Coturnix japonica: one gene and its partners. The protein of the gene in region 3 interacts with the protein of the main gene of each other region in a biochemical or structural test. Links are inferred from orthologs where the notes say so. Each region holds a gene or a part of one and is shown on either strand. Other genes may lie near its edges.

Evidence for each region.
Region 1: the proteins of FGFR2 (region 3) and FGF10 are reported together in a solved structure, tested with the Homo sapiens proteins (3 studies listed by BioGRID and IntAct, with this or other methods). The link is inferred for Coturnix japonica from reciprocal best matches to the Homo sapiens genes FGFR2 and FGF10.
Region 2: the proteins of FGFR2 (region 3) and FGF7 form a complex in vitro, tested with the Homo sapiens proteins (3 studies listed by BioGRID). The link is inferred for Coturnix japonica from reciprocal best matches to the Homo sapiens genes FGFR2 and FGF7.

What each region holds. Positions count from the first base shown.
Region 1 is NC_029547.1:15,722,682-15,727,123, reverse strand, and holds the start of FGF10 (fibroblast growth factor 10), read left to right. Parts: upstream 1-1,500; 5' UTR 1,501-1,704; exon of another isoform or gene 1,705-1,738; intron 1,739-1,918; exon of another isoform or gene 1,919-2,122; intron 2,123-2,242; 5' UTR 2,243-2,317; intron 2,318-2,445; 5' UTR 2,446-2,672; coding exon 2,673-3,009; intron 3,010-4,442. UniProt on the Homo sapiens protein: Plays an important role in the regulation of embryonic development, cell proliferation and cell differentiation. Required for normal branching morphogenesis. May play a role in wound healing.
Region 2 is NC_029525.1:9,370,448-9,373,130, reverse strand, and holds the end of FGF7 (fibroblast growth factor 7), read right to left. Parts: intron 2,342-2,683; coding exon 2,238-2,341; intron 1,779-2,237; coding exon 1,584-1,778; 3' UTR 631-1,583; downstream 1-630. UniProt on the Homo sapiens protein: Plays an important role in the regulation of embryonic development, cell proliferation and cell differentiation. Required for normal branching morphogenesis. Growth factor active on keratinocytes.
Region 3 is NC_029521.1:27,585,991-27,590,111, forward strand, and holds the start of FGFR2 (fibroblast growth factor receptor 2), read right to left. Parts: upstream 2,824-4,121; 5' UTR 2,712-2,823; intron 1,652-2,711; exon of another isoform or gene 1,559-1,651; intron 1,192-1,558; exon of another isoform or gene 1,004-1,191; intron 1-1,003. UniProt on the Homo sapiens protein: Tyrosine-protein kinase that acts as a cell-surface receptor for fibroblast growth factors and plays an essential role in the regulation of cell proliferation, differentiation, migration and apoptosis, and in the regulation of embryonic development.

The DNA of each region.
Region 1 (4,442 bases), on a different chromosome or scaffold from region 3:
CAGTGCAAATACGTGCAGAATAAATACTCTAAAGAACCATAAACAACATCATAAAACATATTGATTCTAACATTAAATGGTTTCATTTTTAAGGCTGTTTAAATGTCACCCCCAGAAGCTGAGAACATAAATTTAAGAGCTAACTCTCTCCAGAATAAACACCATAATTGGAGAAAATCATTTCTAATTTCTGTTGTGAAGCTAACAATATATTTAACATCCTAATCTAATGAATCAGTCTAATTTTAGAACTATTTGTTCTTTTCTACATTTTCTGCTCTTTAAATGAAGATTGACTCCAAATGCCACATGTAATTGCATAGGCGGTTTTCCATTGCATCCCACTGATCTGCATTATTAAACTGCCTCTATTTCACAAAAGTTCTGGTCTTACATATCAAGGAACTTGCTGTGTTTCTCTTGCAGCTCACTTCTCCACCGCTCTGTGCCCCTAGTTCCACCTACTTGCATTCCAGAACCATTATTTTACGATACTAAATATTGAACGAACACTCAACGTCTAGCAATGCTTGCCCATATCCTGTCAGACCCCTATCCTGCACTATGGTGTTAAAAGATAGTACATCATATGAAAGATGCCTGTTAATTACTTGGAAGACTGACAGTTTGGTGACGGGATAGAAATATGAATCTGTCATAACATCCAGTTTGTGAAATGACAAATCCATTAGGAGAAACAGAATCAGAGGAGAAAAACAACAACATATGCCTGTCCGGGAAAATAATTGCTTGAAAAATCACTTTAAAATAACCTTGGAAATGGAATATTTGTTTCTTTCTGGCAAAGGAAACTGCTTTAATAATAATATTAAAAAGAGAGAGAAAAACATTCAGACATATTTTATAGGGGAAACCTTTGCCATCCCAATAAAGCCCCTTTTGCTTTGAAGTCATACGCGTGATTCAGTAAATGACTCATGTTAGCAATTAGAAAATGGTCATTTAGGGCCCCGATTTCTTTTGAGACAAGGAGGGTGAGGGTGGGGAAAGAGACAATAAATCTTGAGAGGCTTAAAAGGAAGAGCAGACTAAAGTGTGAACTTTTTATTTCAGCAACGGAAGTGAGAAATCAGTGATTCATTAAAGGAGGGAGAAAGACCTCCATGGAAGCTGGCAAAGAAGGAAAAGGAGCTAATTACGTCTCTTCCCCTTTTTACTCTCTCTGACCAGCATATAATCTGCTCTCTCAGGGTCTGCTAGCAGCATGTACTTCTTCCCAACCTTTCCACCCAACCCCTCCTCCAGTGAGGGGGAGGGGGAGGTCTAGCAGGCAACAAGCTCCAGGTGGCTTTCTCAACTGCTCCGCTGCCAAAAGAATAAAATAAAATCCTTCGCTAGAAAACAAGTTTCTTTTTTTTTTTTTTTTTTTTTTCTTTTTTTTTTTTTTTTTTTTTCCCCCTGACTGTTGCGGGGGGAGCCTCCCTGGAGGGGATTGGTTCAGCCTGCAAGACAAGGAAATTAGTAAGGCATGAGTCTCCAAGCCATGCTGGTGGCCAGCACTCCGAGGAGTGGAGCGCTTTAGCAGCAATTAGCAGCGAGCCGAAGGCGGCGGCGGCTGCTGCCGCTGCAGCCCGGGAGGAAGCGAGGGCAGCTCCTGGGGCTCCCTCCGCAGCAGGCACAGCTCTCTCCAACTGCAAAAGGGTTTCAGATGTCCCACCGCTGCTTGACCTCCTGCAAATAAGGGTTGACCACCAGAGGCACATCCCACCTCTGATTTGTAATCGCTGACATTTAGGCTACAGCTTCCAACCTGTTTACAACCAAAGGGGAGGGAAAGGAAAGGAAAGGAAGGGAAGGGAAGGGAAGAAGGGGTGGGGAGGGAGAGACAAGTTGGGATTTTTTCCCCTCTCTCTCTTTCTCTCTCTGGGTTTTTTTTGTTTTGTTTTGTGGGGTTTTGTTTGTTTGTTTGTTGGGGGTTTTTTTGTTTGTTTGTTTTTGTGGGGGTATTTTTTTTTTAATACTGTTCTGGAGAATTTAAAGCAAAACAAAGAAACTGCCTCCTCTGTGGCTGTCAGTGAGAAAGGACGAGTTGTGCAACTGGTTTGGGATTTGCAAGAGGGCAAGGGGGTGGGGATCAGAAGAAGGTGCAAAGCCACAAAGTGTGAGTGCGAGTGTGTGTGTGTAAAGGGGTGTGTATGAAAAATCCCTTCCAGCACCCCTTTCCGCTGGTTGTTATTTATTATTGTTGTTGTTGTTCATTCTGCTGTCATCTATTTTTCAGACCTTTCTGCATCTAAGATGGTGAAGAAAGGAGTGAGGAAGAGAGCAAAATAACTACTGGGAAGTCTCAAACCAGGTTGGGGAGTGTGTGTGTATGTGGGGCGGGGGGGGTGGAGATGGGGGGGTGGGAGGGGGGGAGGGTGGAGAGGGGAAGAGAAAAAGGAAAGAGGATTAACCACAGCAACCCCCCCAAAACACCAACAGCTCTTTTTTCTGAGGGAGGACTCGAAGGATTAAAAGGCAGCAACTTCTGAGGCGATCTGTCCCCTGAGTTATGGATGTTGGTGCACTTACTTCAGGCCAGATCAGAGCTCAGAGGGATCTAACCAGAAGCAGCAACCACCGGCTCTCCACTTGCCTTTTACCAGGTTTTACCCATCCAGTATGTTTCTTTTGATAAGACATTTTCCAACGCCCAGAGTTTCAGTACAATGTGCAAATGGATACTGACAAATGGTGCCTCAGCCTTTTCCCACCTGCCTTGTTGCTGCTTGCTGCTGCTCTTCTTGGTGTCTTCTGTGCCTGTCACCTGCCATGACCTCGGCCAGGACATGCTGTCCCCGGAGGCCACCAACTCTTCTTCTTCATCATCCTCCTCCTTCCCCTCGTCCTTCTCCTCTCCTTCCAGTGCGGGGAGACACGTGCGGAGCTACAATCACCTCCAAGGAGACGTGCGCAAGAGGAAGCTCTACTCTTACAACAAATACTTTCTCAAGATCGAGAAGAACGGCAAGGTCAGCGGCACCAAGAAGGAGAACTGCCCGTTCAGTAAGTACGGCTCCAACGCCGCGCCTTCACCGCGGCAGCCCCGGCCCGGGAGGGAGCGGGGCAGGGGGCGCCGGGGGCTGTTCGGGGTGGGCTCCTCCGGGAGCTCCCGCAGGCACGGGCGCGAGGAGACCTTCCCGGCCGCGTTTGTTTTGCAAATGGCTTCGCCGAGCACAGTTTGTTTCTCTGCATGGCAGTAGAGCAAATTAGAAAGATTTGTGAGGATGTGGCGCGGAGCGTGTGTTGGGGGGAGCATTGTCTCCCGAATATGAAAATCATTATCCCCCTGTCATTAAACTGCCTTGACGAGAACGCTCTATTAAAACAATGCATCGATTTCCCCCCACGCACGCACTCCTCCCCGCGCCGCACCGGGGCCGTCCGCCCCACTCTCCCCCCGGGGCTCCTCGGGCGGCAGCGCCGGAGCCGGAGCGCTGCATGGCGAGCGGCTGCGGCGGGACCGCGCGGACCTCACACGCATCTCATTGTCAGTCTCTGCTCGGAGAGAAACGGTTTCAAAGTAAAAGTCGTACGGCTGTTCCCATGGCTGTGCTTTCGAGATTTTCTGCAGGACTAATTAGGCTTCTAGTAATAGCGTGCTTCTGGTAATGTATTTCTGGCTGTCAGTGTTGGAAATGTAACTTTACTCGGTTTTCTTGCCTGTGCAGTCTCAAACTGAAGCAACTGTAGTAAATCACAGTATATTGCATTGTAACTCTTTCAGTGACTGCATCCCGCTACAGGAGCGTGCTGAAGAAGTCAGATCTGTTAAGCAAGAGTTGGGCTCCAGTGCTGGAGCACCACTCCTTGGTTCTGGGGTTATTCTTCATAAATCCAGAGAAACCTGGGGATAAAGCTTCTGTTAAACAACTTGAGGTGGCTGGCTAGCTAATGTGTCAAGTACAGAGTACTTCAGCAGGCTGCCCTTCTGTATGACAGACATCACGGTTAATTCAGCTGTATTTCTTCTAAATACCCGTAATGTAGTCTTAGAAGGAAGGAGGAGAAGGCTGATGTATCATATGTCACTGCTTCATTTGCTCCACCTTGCAACTTTGTACTTTATCATGTGCTTAATGTTTGTAAAGGGTTTAGTTGTCAACACAGCTGTCTTACCACCTCCCTTCAGTATTTCATAGAAAGCTGAGTTCTTGGAAAACAGAACAGCTCCAAACACTTTGACAAGTTTGTTTAGAACAAGGTCCTAGCACTGTATTTCTTAGATCACTGTTTTTTTGTTGAGGACAGCATGATTCCCTGAATTTGGGATTCTGAGATCTTTGTGTGCATCTCTGCAAACATAAAGCCATGCTGCACAGAACACCTCTGCAGTACAGTTGGTGAGTAACCCAACCTGAAAACAGTGTGTGCAGAGAGGGAAATGCTCTTCTGAGTAGAGCTGTTCAGTGAGTGAAGCTGTACATATGCTTGAGTTT
Region 2 (2,683 bases), on a different chromosome or scaffold from region 3:
CCATCCCAAGTCGGTAATGATCATGCAGCAGCTGTTTTAGCTAAATTTTGCTGATCTTTGAGCACAAATCACAGTGCTGAGAAAACTTGTAGGCAAACTGAACAGAATGAAATAACTTTTTGGTCATGTAGGGCTTACTTTTGAACACTTTGATACATAGAAAAATAGTTGTGTCTCTTCTTTATCATGTCACGTGGATCTTGGCTGGTGTTTCAGATTAGTCGTATGGGTTCTTACACTGTTCTCTGAGTCTCGGTTCCACCATCTGAGGATTTATTCTGCAACTTTCTTTTACCTAGTATAACTCGGAGCTGCTATTAAATCAACTTGAGTGTGTGGCAAAGATTTTCTACGTTTTTGCATTGTTTCCTTTGAGATGTCCATTGTGCGATTTGCTGCAGGCTGTCATTTTTGTCTGCCATCCAATGTATGTTGGCAAGAGGGTTGTGTACTAGACTTTGTGTCTGGTCACAGAAAAAAATTCATGCATCTCAGCCAGACCATTTTGTTATTCCTTTAGAATTAAAAGCATATGAAACAGATGCAGCTTAATCAGTTTTTTTTTCTTGATTTTTTCTTTTTTTTCTTTTTTCTTTTATAAATAACATTTAAATAACTTAAAACAATAAGTTCAAATACAACTTAAAATAAAGTTTAATGCTGTAACAACAGAAAAAGCATGTATAAGGTTGGAAGAAAAAAAAAACCAAACAACAAACAACATTATTAAAAGCTGTATGCCCTAGCAGGAATTATACAAAAGATAGGATATGTTACATAAAATACCTTAATATGTCTGAATTTTTTCTTCGTCGTTATATAAATTGTTACTTTGTGAAAAGTGAGATGAAGTATGTTATTTATTCCTATTATTTTACATACACTATTTTGAAACATCTTTTAGAGCAGCATTAAGTATTTGTTTCATTAATAGATAGGAACATTTTTGTAGTAGAGTAAACTTAATTTTTCCAAACTAACTCTTTTATCTGAAATGCAACAATAGACATTTACACGATTATATATTTTTTCTGATCATATAGTTTATGTATAGGTTATCGGTTTCTTGGGGAAGTATTTAAAATACTGCTCAGCCTCCACACTTACTATTGACTTGATAATCTGACAACTCGTTCCAGCAGCCTTAGAGTCTGACATATTTTACACAACATTATCATCTGCTTATTATTATTATAGCAGCCATATTTAAGAAGCAGATTGTTTTCTGTTTTTGTTTTTTTTTGTGTTTTTTTTTTTCTTTTTTCATTTAAATTAAATATTATCAGATAATCAAGTCATGAATTATTCTTCAGGGTAAATTAATTTAAGAAACTACCCAGTTAAAATGACTAAGATAATGATTGTACAACTCTTTAGAATTCTTTACAGCTTTTAGTTAGGAAATCTGGTTTTGCGTATATTTTCAAATCTTTTCCACGTAGTCTCTTAAAAATAAACATAAATGCGCAAGTCCAGCTTGTTCAGTTTCTCAGTAGTATTCCAGCCTCTCTTGATACCTTGTCAAATAATCTTCTTAAAAATAATCTTCCTGCTGGAACTAGTTCTGTACAGATCGTGTATGATTAGGATATTGCCAGAGGAAGAAAGTGGGATGCTCTGTGTTCTTTCTTTGTTTTTTTACCCTTCATTGGAACACCTTTGTGGTTTAATGTAATAAACATCTCTTTTCCTTTGTGTGTCCATTTTGCAGAAGCATATGTATTATAATGGTTTTCTTCAATTAGTTCTATGAAGTTGCAATCCTCATTGCATACTTTCTGTTGAGAATAAATAATTTAGAGTAAAATGAATACAAATGTTTTTAAAAAACAATCAGAGAATACTTAGATGGAGGGAGATGGGAGAAAAAGGTTCATCACAAAAGCTACGTTTTTAATATTATGAATATTAAACAAATTGATATACTAGTGATAAATAATATTATTAACAGTGATAATAAATAAATTACACTTCTGAAACCTGAGTATTGAATACTTCAGCTTTGTATGTTCTAACATCTTGAGTTTTAAAAAAGTGCACAAACTCCAACAACTAAATTTTGAAAGTGTGTATGAAAGTTGTGCACACATGGGATACATTTTAATTTTTTAGGACTTTCTGTCATACAACCTGTTTCACACAAAGTATGACATCTGTTTTTCAGAGAGTTGTGGGGATTGTTAGAGAAGTTAGCAGGGTAGTTGTGTACACAGTTGAGGAGAATTTAGCTTCCATACCTTTCCATAGAGTCTTCCTGACTTGTTCATTGCTAGAAAGTATTCACTTTCCACTCCTTTGATTGCCACTATTCCAACTGCCACTGTTCGGATTTCTAGAATACCTGCAAATGTATACAGGAAAAATTACACCGATGCAAAGTATCTGTTTTCAATTCTACCTTTATGATTTCTTAAACAAATACAATTCTGTGCTTATCGAAAATTCTTATCTGCATTTATTAGAAAAAGTATTTATTTATTCATGTGAAGAAAGGGCTAGATTTTTAAAATCTCTATATGTGATCATCACGGCCACTTACAATCTGTAGGATAAATTTTAAATATCTACTGAAATTGAAATGTTAGAAATTTTTATATTTTCAAAGAATTGATGGATGTTAGGATTTATTGTACTCCGGGTTTCATTTAGAAGAATTACATCCGTAGCCATCAGGGTTCAAGGA
Region 3 (4,121 bases):
GACAACTGCACTGTATTTCCCCCCCCAAAATACAAGGTGGCACACCACTGTCGATGGATAAATCAAGCAAGCTGTTCAAATCAGCCAATAACTCATCTTAGAAGTAATGAGACCCAACTGAAGCTTAGAGAGCACTGATCTTGGGGAAAGAATTGCATAAAACCTCTTTTTTCCCCCCTCCTGCCCCCATCCTTAAATAGAGGGGGAAAAAAAGAAGCCTGAGCTATGGTACCACAGCATGTAGAACTCAGCAAAACGAACACATGTTCTGCCTTTATGGAGCCAACCATTAAGGAATGTATTCAGACTTTTTCAGCCTCTCACTCAGGGCTGGAAACTGAACTCAGCTCCCAGAAATGGGGACAGGTGTGTGTGGGGCATCCTTGGAAGCCCCAGGCTCTGCAGAAGCAGATTTGAGAAGAGATCCAATTGGGTAAAGGGTTCAGACACAGCATTTCAGGTGAACCTCTGCCTCTCTGGGGCAAGCGTTTCCCATCCCAGCTCAATGCTCCGCTGCTCCTTTAGAGACTGAAGCAGAGCACGACACCACAAGCACACAACAGTTCCACCTCCAGCAGAACCAAAGCCAGACCACTTCACAGACACTGGGGAAGAACCCACAGAGCACCTCCCTACAAGAGGGCAATGCAGGTGTGGAGCCCAAGTTCTGTCCCGAGGACGGGTCTCAGCCTCTGACTCACAGCCCCACAGCACAGTTTATCCAGCTGTAAAGCAGGTATAAATCCTAATTAACAGACTGGAGGTAAAGCTAATTTAATTTCCATAAATCATCCCGTAAAGCCTGATTAAAGGCTACGTATATAAATGCAAAGCTTAACCATATTTTTTCGCAAAAAGAAAACATACCAGAATGCTATCATATATCCCAGACTCTTTTCTAAACAGCATTAATCCCACCTACATTTCAGCAGCACAGGATTTCCAGGCTGCATTCAATGCCATTTAGAGCCGTGTGCCCATCCCGAATGGCAGCACTGCTCACCTGGAGGAGGCTGCCAGCTCCTGCACTGAGCATCCAACAGCAGCACGGAGGGACTCTTCCCCTGCAGGGTAACACCAAATTCAAAGCCTGGGCTCAAGAAGGTGCAGCAAAGCGACACTCAGAGCTTTGGGCCCATCCGCAGAACCCAAATCTACAACCACGGTCCAAACGCTGCCCGTTCCCAAACCAAACGGAGTCCAACGAAGACCAAAAGAACCCAAATTCTTTTCATAGTTTGATGGCCACAGTCGCCGGGGAACGGCTCCCTGGAAGGACCTCCTGCGCTGGTTAATTATGTACCTCTATCTCAATGTTTGGAACACAGCCCCAGCATGCTTTTTGGCCTCCACAATTCTGGCTTCCTGACTACAATACCATAATCCCTCCTGGAGTCTCAGACTCAGTGAAAGCCACACGTAGTGTTTATTTTTCCCCTTGAAAGGGAACTCTGTCTCTCCTCTCAGCCTACACTTCGGGGAGGAGTTGTCAGCCCCCAATGATTGATGGCTCTCCTTGCCACTCGCTCATCAAGTCAATTTTCACCTCGTCACATACCTGCCCAAATTTCTGTGCCAAACTGACGAGCATGGGAACGCAGACTGGTTTGGGAGCCCAACCAAATTCCTCCGAGCTCTCCTCCACTTTTGAGCACACTCGCTCGCAAACAAGTAGTTCTTGTTCAGCAGTGGCATTAATTAAATTCAACGCTCAGTGTTCTTTTTAATCTACTCCCATTGTTGTTTATAAGATGTTTATCACTCCCCGGGGACGGTCCAATTTGTACAGCATGTTAACCAAATCAATACGCTGCTCATCGGGCAGCTCTTAGCAGCGCTCTCTATTAAGGCAGGGAATAGCGAAATCTGAACGAAATACGGAGCTTCCCCCAATGCCAGCACCCGGCAGCTTCCCTACAACCATCCGAGCACACCGAGCTCCCCAACGAGCGCATATGGGCTTAAATATTGACACCTATTTATACGGAGATGCAGACATACGTACGCACGCGTCTCCATCCCCGCTCAATCTCCGAGCAAATCTGAGCATCACAGCTATTAAACATTAATTCTGGAGGACTAATGGGAACCGGCTGGCAAGCCTCCGTACTTTCGCATTGTTTGAACTTCTTTCATTCGCTTTCCAGGACTATCCTGTTTTTCTCAAGTCTTTTACCACTAAGAGATGAGGAGGGGGGGGAAGAGAAAAAAAAAGATCTGCATTTTAATTGACATTCCAGAGAGAGAGAGAAGTCCAGAGGCTGTTGATTGCTGTCTATTCAGCCCAAACAGGCTTTTCAGATGAAAATGAGTAAAGGCTAGTGGAAGATTTACAGGGATTTGGTACAAAGGAGACAATGAAGTTTTAAATGTTGATAGCGTTTCACACCGAACGCATAATGGCTCACTGTTTGAACGAGCCGTTTTGCATTTAAACCTATATATCACCGCGGATTTCTTTTTTTACCCGGTGCGGGACGGGGGGCGGTTCCGCTCCGCCGAGCATCGCTCCGTGGGGAGCTCCCGAGGGCTGAGCTGCTCTCAGCCCCGCTGTCACCGTCCCCTAAAGGTTTCGCCGCATCGGACGGGACCGCAGACAGCATCCCGAGCCTCCCCGTCCCGTCGGGAGCGCCGCGAGCCCTCCCCTCCTCGGGTTTGCCCCCACTCCCCCCCAACACCTTTCCCCTCCCTACCCCCGGCCGTGCCATTACCTGAAGCCGGTCGGCTCCGCGGCCGCGCTCACTCGTCGGGCAGCCCCGGCGGGGCGGGCTGGGGGCCCCGCAGGGCAACGCGGCGCATCCCCCGCGGGATGCGGGGCTGGCGGCGGCGGGGCGGCGATGCAGGAGCCCGCCCGGCGTCCCGTCCCCTCGCTGCGCTGCGGCGCTACCGCCTCACTGGGGCGAGCCCGCCGTGCCCGGCGCCAGCAGCCTCCTCCCCCGCGCGGGCATCGCCGCGGGTCCCGCTCCGCTCCATCCAGCCGCCCTCCCCGTGCCGCCGCAGCTTTGTCAGTCCAACAACCCCCCTCTTTTTTCTTTTTTTTTTTTTTTTCCTTCTTTTTCGCCCTCCCTCTCCCTCTCTCTCCCTCTCTCTCTCTCTCTCTCTCCGCACGCTCCTCCGACTCCTTCCTCCCTCCTCCCCTGGTCACTCCCCCAGCTGCAATCCGAGCCGTTTCCTGGACGGCGCTGCTCGGCTCTGCCAATCGCTGCGGCTGCGGTACGGAGCCCCTGCCCCCGCCGCACAGCCCGGCCCGGCCCCGGCTCCGGTCCCGCTGGGGATGCGAGCGTTGCTCTGCCCGGTGGGGAGGGCGAGGCGGCCGCCCCCAGCCCGCACGCAGCCCTGATGGCACCCGCACTCACTCACGGTACCACCTCGGCCACCTGACTGCGGGGGGTTTGTAGGACCAGAGGCTACAGCAGCGCTGCCCCAACCCGAGGCATGGTGACACCCAGCAAACACCACCCGTGTGCACGGCGTGGGGTCAGCTGTGTGTTGGTGATGCAGCAGCGGTGCCCGAAGTGATTTAAAGTGATGCATAATATCGGTATCTAAAATTGAGTATAATTTAATAAAGCTTTTACTTTAGATACCATTAACTAAAAGGTTGCTAGCGCAGTCCGTGCAATGCTTGCTCTGTAGAATCGGCCTGACAACTGAATCAATAAGCGCCGCTCGCCTCCAATTAAATCAGTGCTGATCAATGTAACGTTACTTTATCTGAGCGCAGCTCTGCCGTGCACTGGATCTGTTCTGCACAGTATTGATTGGAGGCTCTCAAGGACTGCGGCGGCACAGCAGTGGCTCTCTGTATTTACACACTTTCAAGCACCAAAAGCTGAAAACAAGTTTTGTGTGCACCGTGTGCCTACCTCCCAAATAGTGCTTTCCCACCGGCAGCAGCAGCAGCGAGGGGCTGCAGGCGAGATTGGAAGCTCAGCTTTACTCTTGTTGTTCCTAAAGCAAGAGGCGTCTCAATGTTCTAATTGAGGAGCTGCAATGTCACAGTCCGGATCCAATTTTCTCAGCTCTGGGCATGTCCACTGCCCTTTGAAAACACCCTTTAATGCATTCTCACATAAATTATTGCCCGACACAGGAAGCTGCAATACCTTTCCCCATTCATC